3 linked regions of the Nothobranchius furzeri genome follow. The protein of the gene in region 2 interacts with the protein of the main gene of each other region in a pairwise test. Links are inferred from orthologs where the notes say so. Each region holds a gene or a part of one and is shown on either strand. Other genes may lie near its edges. The genes, in order: bend7, lyar and prkra.

Region 1 (2,686 bases), on a different chromosome or scaffold from region 2:
AAATACTGAAAATAAATATTTACAGAGGACTATTGTTTTTTACATTACAATTAAACCAATCAATGTAAAATTAATTATAAAAAATTAATCAAATATGCATCGCTTTTGAGTATAAGGTTTGCAAACAAGGTGGATGCTGCACATTACACCCATTGAACCACTGGTCACTTAAAAGGCACAATCCACAATGGAAAAACCTCTTTCGAGATGAGTTGTCCTAACAATAATTTAATGCTGTTCATTTTTACAGCATTATGCCTTGTTCGATATGTCTGATCTCCATTATATTGGCAAATTTTCTTTAAAGGTGTAGAACACTGAAATCCCACTTTTAAGATCTTATTTTTTATTATAATCGGCCACTCTGAGATGCAGGCTGAACATGAAAAAATTCTATGCCTAGCTCCTGCATGCAAACTAGATGGTGAAAACTCAACGATTTGAAAAGACTGACAGATCTACATCACATTGTCACCAAACATTCATGGGGTGTTTCTTAATGTGAAGGAACTTTGACTTGACGTCTTGGTCCTGCCCCGGTTGCCTAAGAGAAACATCATCAGGAACCGCCAAGGTGTGTTCCAATGTTCATGTTCTACCGAGGCATCCTAGCTGAGCTGAGCAAGGATACACGGGAGGTGCCTTGTAGCCTGGCCCTGGTCAAAAATTTCCCAGAATATAGCATATATATATATATATATATATATATATATATATATATATATATATATATATATATAGTTGCCTATAGTAGTTGCAGATTCGGTTGCTAACAGGTATAAGTTGCTTACATATGTACACAATTTAAAAAGTATAAGGCTTGTTATACGTTTATATTGAAACTCATACGCATAAAATATAACGTTACCTCATGTATCACGTGACAAGACATGACCGCCGTGGAAGTTGTGGTCATGTCATGCAAGTCTGTTCCATTTAACCGTTTCCTTTGCCCAAGGAAGGACAGTGTCCTCGTAAGCGAGGCCAGGCTCCTTGACATTGAGAAATACCCATGGACTCACCCATCTTGACCACAACAGGGAAGGCTGTTGTTTATTTAACATCCAGGAAACAGCAGAGAATGTATTGGCTAGTAGAAGCTAACTGTTAGCATCAGCAACTTCACCACACAGCAGAACTCCTCCAGGCTTATATGGAAATAAAAATCAACGTTGCAAAGCAAACAGAGTCAGTGGTAGAGCTGTTTAGCTGTCCGAATTTCAGGAAATCAGACTCCAAAACATGCCGTCTGAAGCTCAGCTGTGATGTGGCTCACTTCTAGTTCCTGGAAATGGTGCATCAGTGCACCCCAAGTACGACTAATAAGGCATTCATTCCTACTGCAAACATATTGATTGAATGAGTGTTCCACACCTTTTAGGCATTTGCTTAAACCGTGAACAATAAATCACTTATTTTATTTTATTACATCAGTATTTCCTGGCACAAAATTCCAGATCCAAAAGGATGTCAATCATGGACTGCTCATTTAACACAATGTAAACCATATTTGCTCATGATGGATGCTTTCTCGTTTGGCCCTTTTATTTTCTTTTACCCATTTTACCTAATAGTTAACAGTTGCAAAATGGCATAATCCAACACTTACAGTTAGAGAAATAACGAGGACAAAAATAATCAGCTGAACTCCAGCCGAGGCAGCTGTTGAATCAACACGTTACATTCTTCAGTGTGTGTTCGTCACATTCAGGTTTCTTATAATCACAGCCTGTATAGGAAGAAAATATTGTTAGTATATAATTTAATGCTGTGAACTATAAAACAAAACAACAGCGAATTTTATGTAAGCATGTGTGGCAAGTAGAGAATTTAGATATTTGACAGCTGTGGCTACGTTGTAAAGGTGAAAGAGTGAAAACGATGCACGTTGTGAAGATAATTAGCTGACATTTTGGGAAGCTGCATGAAAATGTCAAATGTCAGCGCGAAAGCATGCCATAGCCTGGTGAGCCAATGAGGGAGCCAGAGACACCAATTTGTGGGTGTGTTGTGACAATGGAGTGAGGAGAGGTGAAGCCATTATGTGCTCTGAGGGGGGCTGATGAAAAGGTGATGTAAGATGAAGAACCAGTGCAAATGTAGGCAGTTTTGTGTGAGGTTCTTACTGGTCGATGGTCCAGTTGAGCTTTCCTCAGCTTCTGCAGCATCTATTGACCCAATAGAACAGCTTTCGATATGCAACTTGTTTATTTTACTTAAAGAAAACAAATGACTGCTTCAGACCTCGTTTCAGCCTCCTCCTTGCAAGTTTGATCTGGTCTTGAAGGATCTGCACCCAATCTCGAGGCCCTGGCAACTTCTCTATTCTGTGATTGGTGCAGTATTTTTCTGTAAACACTGGCCACAAGTCACTCAAATAATTAGAACATTTGTCTTTATTATGCCAGCAACAAAGAGTGAATTGATCTTGTTTTACCTTTAATTGCACCCACAATGTTTTGGTCCAAACCCTTACGGTTGTCATTGAGCCCACGTTTCCTTTTGCCATTTGGCAGAGAGTTGGCCAGAGTAGCGTCATCAAAGAAGGCACACACCTAAGGACAAAACACAGCTCCTGATCTTAGAAGTATGTTTAATTTTTGCTTTTTAAAATCCCAGAAGCGTACCAGTTTGCGAAACAGCAAGCTGCCAGAGCGGGTATAATTTACTAGGATGGAGTCCAGTT
Region 2 (3,758 bases):
ACGTACTGACTTGTCTAAGCACATCTTTCAGCTTGGCACTGATACCCGGTTTGCTCATGGCTTCATGTACTCTCTGAAAAAAAAGATACATAAAGTCTGAATTTTAACAAAATATTTCAGTCAACAACAAACCACCGTATGGTTTCAAGGAGATTCTGGTCCACCATCCGGCATCTCAGGAGGGGCAAGCAGCTCGGGACGTTGTGAATCGATGGGTGGAACACTTCCTCAATCCTACTGGCACGTCTTCCAGGGAGGAAGCAGAGTCTGTGGACTTTGGAATGGACTCTCCAATCTCTGGGACTGAGGTCACCAAAAAAAAAACTCCACGGTGGCATGGCTCTGGAGGTGGATGAGCCCAGAGTTCCCTAAGACTCTGGATGTTGTGGGGCTGTGTTGGTTGATGCGGCTCTGCAGTATCGCGTGGACATCAGGGGTAGTTCCACTGGATTGGCAGACTGAAGTGGTGGTCCCCCTAATTACAAAGGGGGACTGCAATGTGTGTTTCAACTACAGGGAGATCACACTCCTTAGAAAGGTCTATTCAGGGGTTCTGTAAAGGTGGGTCTGTTGGACTGTCGAAGGCCAGATTCAGGATGAACAATGTAGTTTTCGCCCTGGCTGTCCTTTGTCACAGATTCTGTTCACAACTTTTATGGACAGGATTTCTAGGCACAGCCAAGTTGTTGAGGAGATCTGTTTTGGTGGCCTGAGGATCAGGTCTCTGCTTTTTGCAGATGATGTGGTCCTGTTGGCTTCATCAAAATGTAATCTCCAACTTCTTCTGGAGCGTTTCACGGCAGAGTGCAAAGCAGCTTCTCTAAACCCGAGACCATGGTCTTGAATCGGAAAAAGGTAGAATGCCTTCTCTGAGTCAGGGATGAGGTCCTGCCTCCAGTGGAGGAGTTTAAGTATCACAGGGACTTGTTCACGAGTGAGGGAAAGATGGAGCGTGGGATCAATAGGGGAATTGTTGCTGCATCTGCAGTGATGCGGGCGTTGTACTGATCTGTCGTGGTGAAGAGAGAGCTGAGCCTGAAGGCAAAGCTCTCGATTTACCGGTCGATCTACGTTCCTGCCCTCACCTATGGTTACGAGTTTTGGGTAGTGATCGAAAGAACGAGATCGGCGATACAAGCGGCCAAATTAGTTTTCTCTGCAGGATGGCTGGGCTCTCCCTTAGAGATAGGATAAGAAGCCCAGTCATCCGGGAGGGGCTCGGAGTAGACCCGCTACTCCTCCACTTCGAGAAGAGCCAGTTGAGGTGGCTCGGGCATCTGGTCAGGATAGCTCCTGGACGCCTCCTTGATGAGGTTGATGAGGCACGTCCAACTGGGAGGAGACCTAAGGGAAGGCCTTGGGGTTCCCTCAGAGAAGCTGACCCAAGTGGCCAGAGAGGGGGAAATCTGGGCCTTTCGGCTTAAGCTGCTGCCCCTGCGACTCAACTCCAGATAAGTGGCTGAAAATGGATGGATGGATGGAGGAACCACCGTTCGGTGAGAGAAGTTTACCTGAATCCACTGCTGTTGTTTCACATCTCCTTTGTTTGCCTTAGCCTCGTAGCCTTTCCCTCCATACTTCTGATTTTCACTTATACATTTGTTGTGATCTTTGTAGTCATCACCCCTGTAGAAAGCATGGAAGAGTTTACACTAAGAAAAGTCTGTGAACAGAAATCTATGGATTGTAAACACTCGGCCAGCCATTACCAGAAGTCTTTTCCACAGTCGATACAGGACAGCACTTGGCAACCACGACACATATTCACGTGTTTCTCAACCTGAGCTTTTTTTAACGATTCACCACACGCGTTGCAAGTAAAAAACACCATTTTAAAAGCAATTCAGTGACTTCTGTGTCTCGGTGCCTTTAGCTTCTTAAAGCAAGTTAAAACAACGTTTGATGCTCAATGTGGAACAATCCCCCAGTACTAGACTTGGCACGCGCTAACGGTCAAATGTGGACAACAAAAAATAAACCTACTAACAAAAGTAGAAAATAATATTTGCCAATTAATATTTTCAAGCGGATGAACAACATACGTTGCTTTTATAAAAGTTATCGGATTCAAAAAAAACACCTAGAAGCACATTTACTGATTCCCTACGTGTATACTTCACGCAATTCAATCCTACATTATTAGCCTTCCGTGAGGAAAATGCTCCCAAAGAAACGTTCCTACAATTATTAAAATAACGTTAAAAGATTGGGAGAGGAAACATTATGCCAAAAATGTTTGATTACCTTAACCAATAAAATTACAAGCATGTAATTCCTTTTATTAAAACAGAATATATATTTATTTATCTGTGTTCATGTTTCGAAATAGGCGCTGTACCAGGAAGTGACGTAAGTCACCACAGTCTAGTGACCCATCATCCCAATGAAAGGTAGGAATGTATTAAGGGAGTTGTTGGCTTTGTTTATTTCTAAAGTTGATTGTTGGCAGTTAATCTAATTTATTTACTTTTCAAAACATTATTTTTTAAAGAAATTTCGCGTTCAGCCAATTTTCCTACGCACTGCTGCGATCGCTTGGTGCAGACATTTTGTTATTTTTGCATGGCTGGTCTCGTAACTCGGCCCAGCGGAAATCTGCTGTTTACAGAACAAAATAGATGAAAATATGAAGTTCAAAAGTTTATCCAGAATCAGCTGAAGAATGCATTTGTAACCCAGTTTAGCTGTTTGTTACCCATTAGCTACAGATAAGCTGTTTTCTTCTTCTTTTTCCCCTGATGTAAGGTTGAAGTTGAGAGAGGTCCAATAGCTGAGTGACCATGGACTCCCTGTCCAGCCACAGCTCATACCTTCTCCAGCAGCTCCAGGAACAAAGAATTCAGGGACTTCTTTGTGACTGCATGTTGGTGGTTAAAGGTGTTTGCTTCAAAGCCCACAAAAATGTCCTGGCTGCTTTCAGTTCCTATTTCAGGTGCCCTAAAGTCAATTTAATGAATAAAAATCCACATGTTTTTGTATTTTTTAGCTTTCTCTATTAATCATGTTGCGATTCTATAGATGATTGAGTTGTTTTATAATTGGATTTCTCCAGGTCTTTGTTCCAAAACTCTCCAAGTCAGAAGAGCGACGTTTTCAACCTGGTTATCCAGGATGTCAGTGGCATTGGTCAAATATTGGATTACATGTATACCTCCCATCTCGACGTTAACCAAGAAAACGTACAAGCGCTTCTGGACATTGCCCAGAGCTTGCAGGTTCCAAATGTGCAGACCATGTGTAACGCCTTCCTCAAGCCTTGCCCCCCACCCGCAGAGTTGTCTTCCTTTTCCCTCCCAGGCATGCTGAGCTCAGAGCATGACTGTCTTCTGGGCAGTGGTCTTCCACATGATGTTGACCTTCACTGTACCTCTGAATCCCAGAGGCCAAATTTTTACAGTGACCTGGACCACACAAGAAGGATACCAGTTTCTCTGCCTAGCAACAGCACAAATGGTGACATACCTAGCAGCTCTCATGCACCTGTAGAAAAACAGCTGGTTCATGGATATAAGCTCCGTAATTTTTACAGTAAGCAGTACTTCAAACAAAGTGCTCTGCAAACCAGTAGTGCAGCTTCAAACCAGGGCCCAGGTCCTTTAGTGTTATCAGAAGAGCAGCTTGGAATGAGCCAGAGTCGAAACAACACTCCTGTAACCTCTGGAAACGTGCCTCAACCTAACCTTTCTTGTACATCTGTGCCAGCTGAAAAGAGCACAGTCTCGTCTTTGACTCCATCAGATAATCTCAACACCTCCAAC
Region 3 (3,758 bases), on a different chromosome or scaffold from region 2:
CTGGAGGCTACGATCTTGATGTACTGGAGCGCGCTATGTGCCGCCACATTGTGAGCGTTGCTGCAGGAGATGCCGGTGCCGTGACACATGGTGACGGGGTCGGTGGATAGTTCTGCCAGGCACTGGTACTGTCCGTTTACAGTCAGCTCATCTGTCAGACATGAACACAGTCAGGGATTTTCTACAGGCAGACATAGGGTCTCCCCTGAGTCTGTTTTTCTGCCTTTCGGGATAAAAGAAGCCTCCAAACATCAACCAAAGCACTAAATTCTTACCAATATCATAGTATGTGACCTCGAAGCCCTGCTCGTGGGACAGATCCAACAACATCTGAATGTAATCCGCGTTGGGAATGTTCAGCGGGCTTCTCCTCAGTAGGGAAATCTTTTCTGCGGAGGACTTTTTCACATTCTCGAGGAGGACACTCGGTTTAGGAGTCTGAAAAACCAGCAACAAGAACATTTCAAACATCTTGTGGATGTTTTAGGAGGTGAAATGAAAGACCTGACTCACCCAGGTGATCTCCGGACCGCCTGACAAACTTTGAAGCTTTGCCACAATTTTCTCTGCAGCCTCCCTTTTTGCTGCTTTTTTAGAACTTCCAACACCTAAAAATAAATAAATAAATAAAACAGGATTAAAACAACAGAACCAAAACAAACAAACTATTTAAATGACTGAAAAAAATGTTTAATCTTTCCTTTTTCTGTAAGAGAGTCAAATCTACAAGCGACAGTGAACTCCCTCTGATGTGGTGGACCAGACTCAGCTAGAACTGCATATTCAGGCCGACGCCATCCTCTCTGGATCGTTAACTCCTAATAATAATTTTTAATTTTAGGTCAATTAATATGAAGAGAAAAATGATATATAATTAACTAAAATGACACCCTTGATCAGTTGCTTAAAGGTTAAATAATACAAACATGACTGTAAAACAGCTGCAGCAAGATAAGTACTCTCTTCTGTAACACAGACCGTCAGAAATTACATAAAACAATAATTTTACATTTTCACAAAAGCAAACGTGACATATAAAAGATGTAACGTGATCACACCTGCAGAAGGGACACAGAGCTGGGATTGTAGTTTGCATCCGCTGCATCCCCGTTGGTGTCGGACTTCCCAGGAGAGGTCCTATTGGGCGTCACGTCAAACACATTAGAGCTTCAACAGTTATAAGAAATCAAATAAATACAACAAAACGCAAAACTTCTGACGACTGACGTTGCTGAATATATTTGTTCTATAACTTTACAGATAATGCTGTCAAATTATTTAACTACAAATAAAATTCCTATTGCAGCCTAAGCAGCATTAAAATATTCACATATGAGACCCCGATAGAAGCTGTACATTCTTTGGTTTTCGCTGTAAAAACCAGGTAAATGAACTAATGGTAAGCAAATAGTTTTGACTTCACTCACAATTTTTTAGAATCGAGGTTCAACAGCTTCAGCGCAGCACTTGCAGCCTGGTGTTTAGCAGCCTTTTTAGTAGGACCTTGACCTGAAATAAAATATAACGAAACAAATTTGTTTCAAAAGCAAAATTAAGTGAATCTTATCACAGATTTTAATTTCTAGCTTAAAATTTTTGCAATTATTTTTAATTTTCTTTGCACAGGTCTACGCTGGAAGTGCAACGGGACACGCTGATGATGCATTTAAGAGTTTACAGCAGCAAAAGACTAACCTGTAACGTGATCAGTGAGTTCTAACTGGATTTTCAGCATGAAACCTCAACAATAAATTACCTCCTGAGTTAGGAAGTACCTAGGTAGTACCTACCTGTACACCGAATGTCTGCAACTCTCACGCTGAAGAAGAAGCTGGGCTGGTGGCCACTTCCTTCAGCTTTCTCCATCTCGTACACAGGAGCGTTCCCACTGGCAGTCCCATACTCATGCAGGATTTGGATCGGGGTCTTCCCCAGGCTGGCCCATTCTGCTTCTTGTGAATCCAAACTTATATTTAACAAAGAAACAATAACATGCAACCTTTGTTACAGGTTAATCTGGGGTTATTTTGGTTGAACAAATTATATTTTATGAATTTTATATGGTGTCTACCAAACTGTTTAGGAAAAATAGGAACTGTAGCTAATTGCGAGTATTTCATGATTACTTCTAATATAAAATTATTTTGTTGTTTCATCACAAAAACAATCTATAATCTGTTAAATAGGAGAAATAAATGTATGTATAACCGTTGGTTTTCAATGTAATGGTTTGAAGCGTCCATTTAAACCGTACTGTTGTTTTTACGCACACAAGAAGATAAAATCATTAACTAGTTTCTGTAAATGATTTGAATTTAACTTGTAAATAATAACGCTACAAACCTTTTGTCGTCCGGTGACTGATACCCCTGTTGAGACATGTTGGATTATTTACGGAGGTCAGCAGGAATTTATCTGGTGGAAACTTAAAAAATAAAGATAAATATAATCTAATGCTTCAGGTTTTCTTCACATTAAACATATTCATGTTTCTAAACGAAGAAAATGCTGCATCCTTCCTGGAGAAAAAGGGAAATAAAAGTCGTGTTCACATCCGGGTCAGCGGAAGTGGTTGCAGCGATTTAGTGCACCCCCTGCTGGTTGAGATAATGGACTGCAATCAAAAACCTAAAATTGTATCTCACTAGTGGGGGGAACGTTTTAGCAAAACAATAAATAAAATGTATTTATGTGATGCAAAAATTAAGTAAGACTAAATTGACACAAATTTTATTTCAGTTTTGAAAACTAATTATAATAGGAAACCAGTTTTTTTCCAGGTTACTCTTAGACAAAGCATACTTTGTATCAAAGTTTATTTTTCATCAACTTTGTTCATTTGACATTTTTTTCTATTCCCATTACAATAATCTAAATAGCCACATTTTACTATTTTGACAAAGAACACGGAAATGCCATAAATACTGTTGCCATGCATCAAAAGATCCTGGGTTCAAATCCCAGCTGGAACCTTGCATAGTTTGCATTTTCTCTCCATACACACCAACTCAGGCTTTCTCCTAATGTGCAAAAACATGCATGTTTGAGTAATTGTCAATTCTATTAGACCCTAGGTGTGTATGTGAGTAGAAGTTTGTCCCTTTGAGACTCTGTCCAGGTCAGACTCTGCCTCTCATCCAATAACTGTTGGACATAAGCACCCAGAACATTTCCACTAATGTATTTGATAAGAAATATATTCTTTAAGAAATTAAAAAAAATATATATATATAGTACTGTTGAACAGTTAAGATTGTTTAGAGGCTTGAATTTGTCATGATTACACCTAGATAGCAGTAGAAAACAAAGTTGGTAATAAATTCATTTTCAGTCTAAATGCTTATTGCTTTGGCTATATAAAGTGCCACATCAGGGACAATTTAAATAAAATCATTCTGCAGCAAAAACTAAGACCTAACACCAACTCAAATGAAACATAAAACATGTTCAGAATTAGAATGTCGTGTCAAGGCGCTGAAATTTGGCACACTCAGCTTCTTTGGAAATAACTAGGCAGACTCCATTCTGCAGCAAAAACTAAGACCTAACACCAACTCAAATGAAACATAAAACATGTTCAGAATTAGAATGTCGTGTCAAGGCGCTGAAATTTGGCACACTCAGCTTCTTTGGAAATAACTAGGCAGACTCCTGGGCTTTTACAAGAGCTCATCAATAAACATACAAATAACGGTCACACAGACACGCACCAATATTTAAAGATGTAAACAGTGTGTGGAATCGGCCTCCCAGGGATC

The links.
Region 1: the proteins of lyar (region 2) and bend7 interact in binary tests that used the Homo sapiens proteins (3 or more experiments, as listed by UniProt). The two-hybrid records come from large-scale screens. The link is inferred for Nothobranchius furzeri from reciprocal best matches to the Homo sapiens genes LYAR and BEND7.
Region 3: the proteins of lyar (region 2) and prkra interact in binary tests that used the Homo sapiens proteins (3 or more experiments, as listed by UniProt). The two-hybrid records come from large-scale screens. The link is inferred for Nothobranchius furzeri from reciprocal best matches to the Homo sapiens genes LYAR and PRKRA.

Annotation. Positions count from the first base shown.
Region 1 is NC_091744.1:72,597,954-72,600,639, forward strand, and holds the end of bend7 (BEN domain-containing protein 7), read right to left. Parts: coding exon 2,628-2,686; intron 2,556-2,627; coding exon 2,438-2,555; intron 2,359-2,437; coding exon 2,245-2,358; intron 2,169-2,244; coding exon 2,127-2,168; intron 1,730-2,126; coding exon 1,671-1,729; 3' UTR 547-1,670; downstream 1-546.
Region 2 is NC_091743.1:56,230,053-56,233,810, forward strand, and holds the start of lyar (cell growth-regulating nucleolar protein), read right to left. Parts: upstream 2,147-3,758; 5' UTR 1,832-2,146; coding exon 1,710-1,831; intron 1,627-1,709; coding exon 1,512-1,626; intron 74-1,511; coding exon 1-73. Other genes in the region: zbtb49 (zinc finger and BTB domain-containing protein 49), read left to right, coding at 2,781-2,932, 3,053-3,758. UniProt on the Homo sapiens protein: Plays a role in the maintenance of the appropriate processing of 47S/45S pre-rRNA to 32S/30S pre-rRNAs and their subsequent processing to produce 18S and 28S rRNAs. Also acts at the level of transcription regulation.
Region 3 is NC_091754.1:21,793,045-21,796,802, forward strand, and holds the start of prkra (interferon-inducible double-stranded RNA-dependent protein kinase activator A homolog), read right to left. Parts: upstream 2,534-3,758; 5' UTR 2,382-2,533; coding exon 2,344-2,381; intron 1,967-2,343; coding exon 1,791-1,966; intron 1,510-1,790; coding exon 1,428-1,509; intron 1,138-1,427; coding exon 1,059-1,137; intron 819-1,058; coding exon 700-818; intron 608-699; coding exon 514-607; intron 439-513; coding exon 276-438; intron 152-275; coding exon 1-151. UniProt on the Homo sapiens protein: Activates EIF2AK2/PKR in the absence of double-stranded RNA (dsRNA), leading to phosphorylation of EIF2S1/EFI2-alpha and inhibition of translation and induction of apoptosis.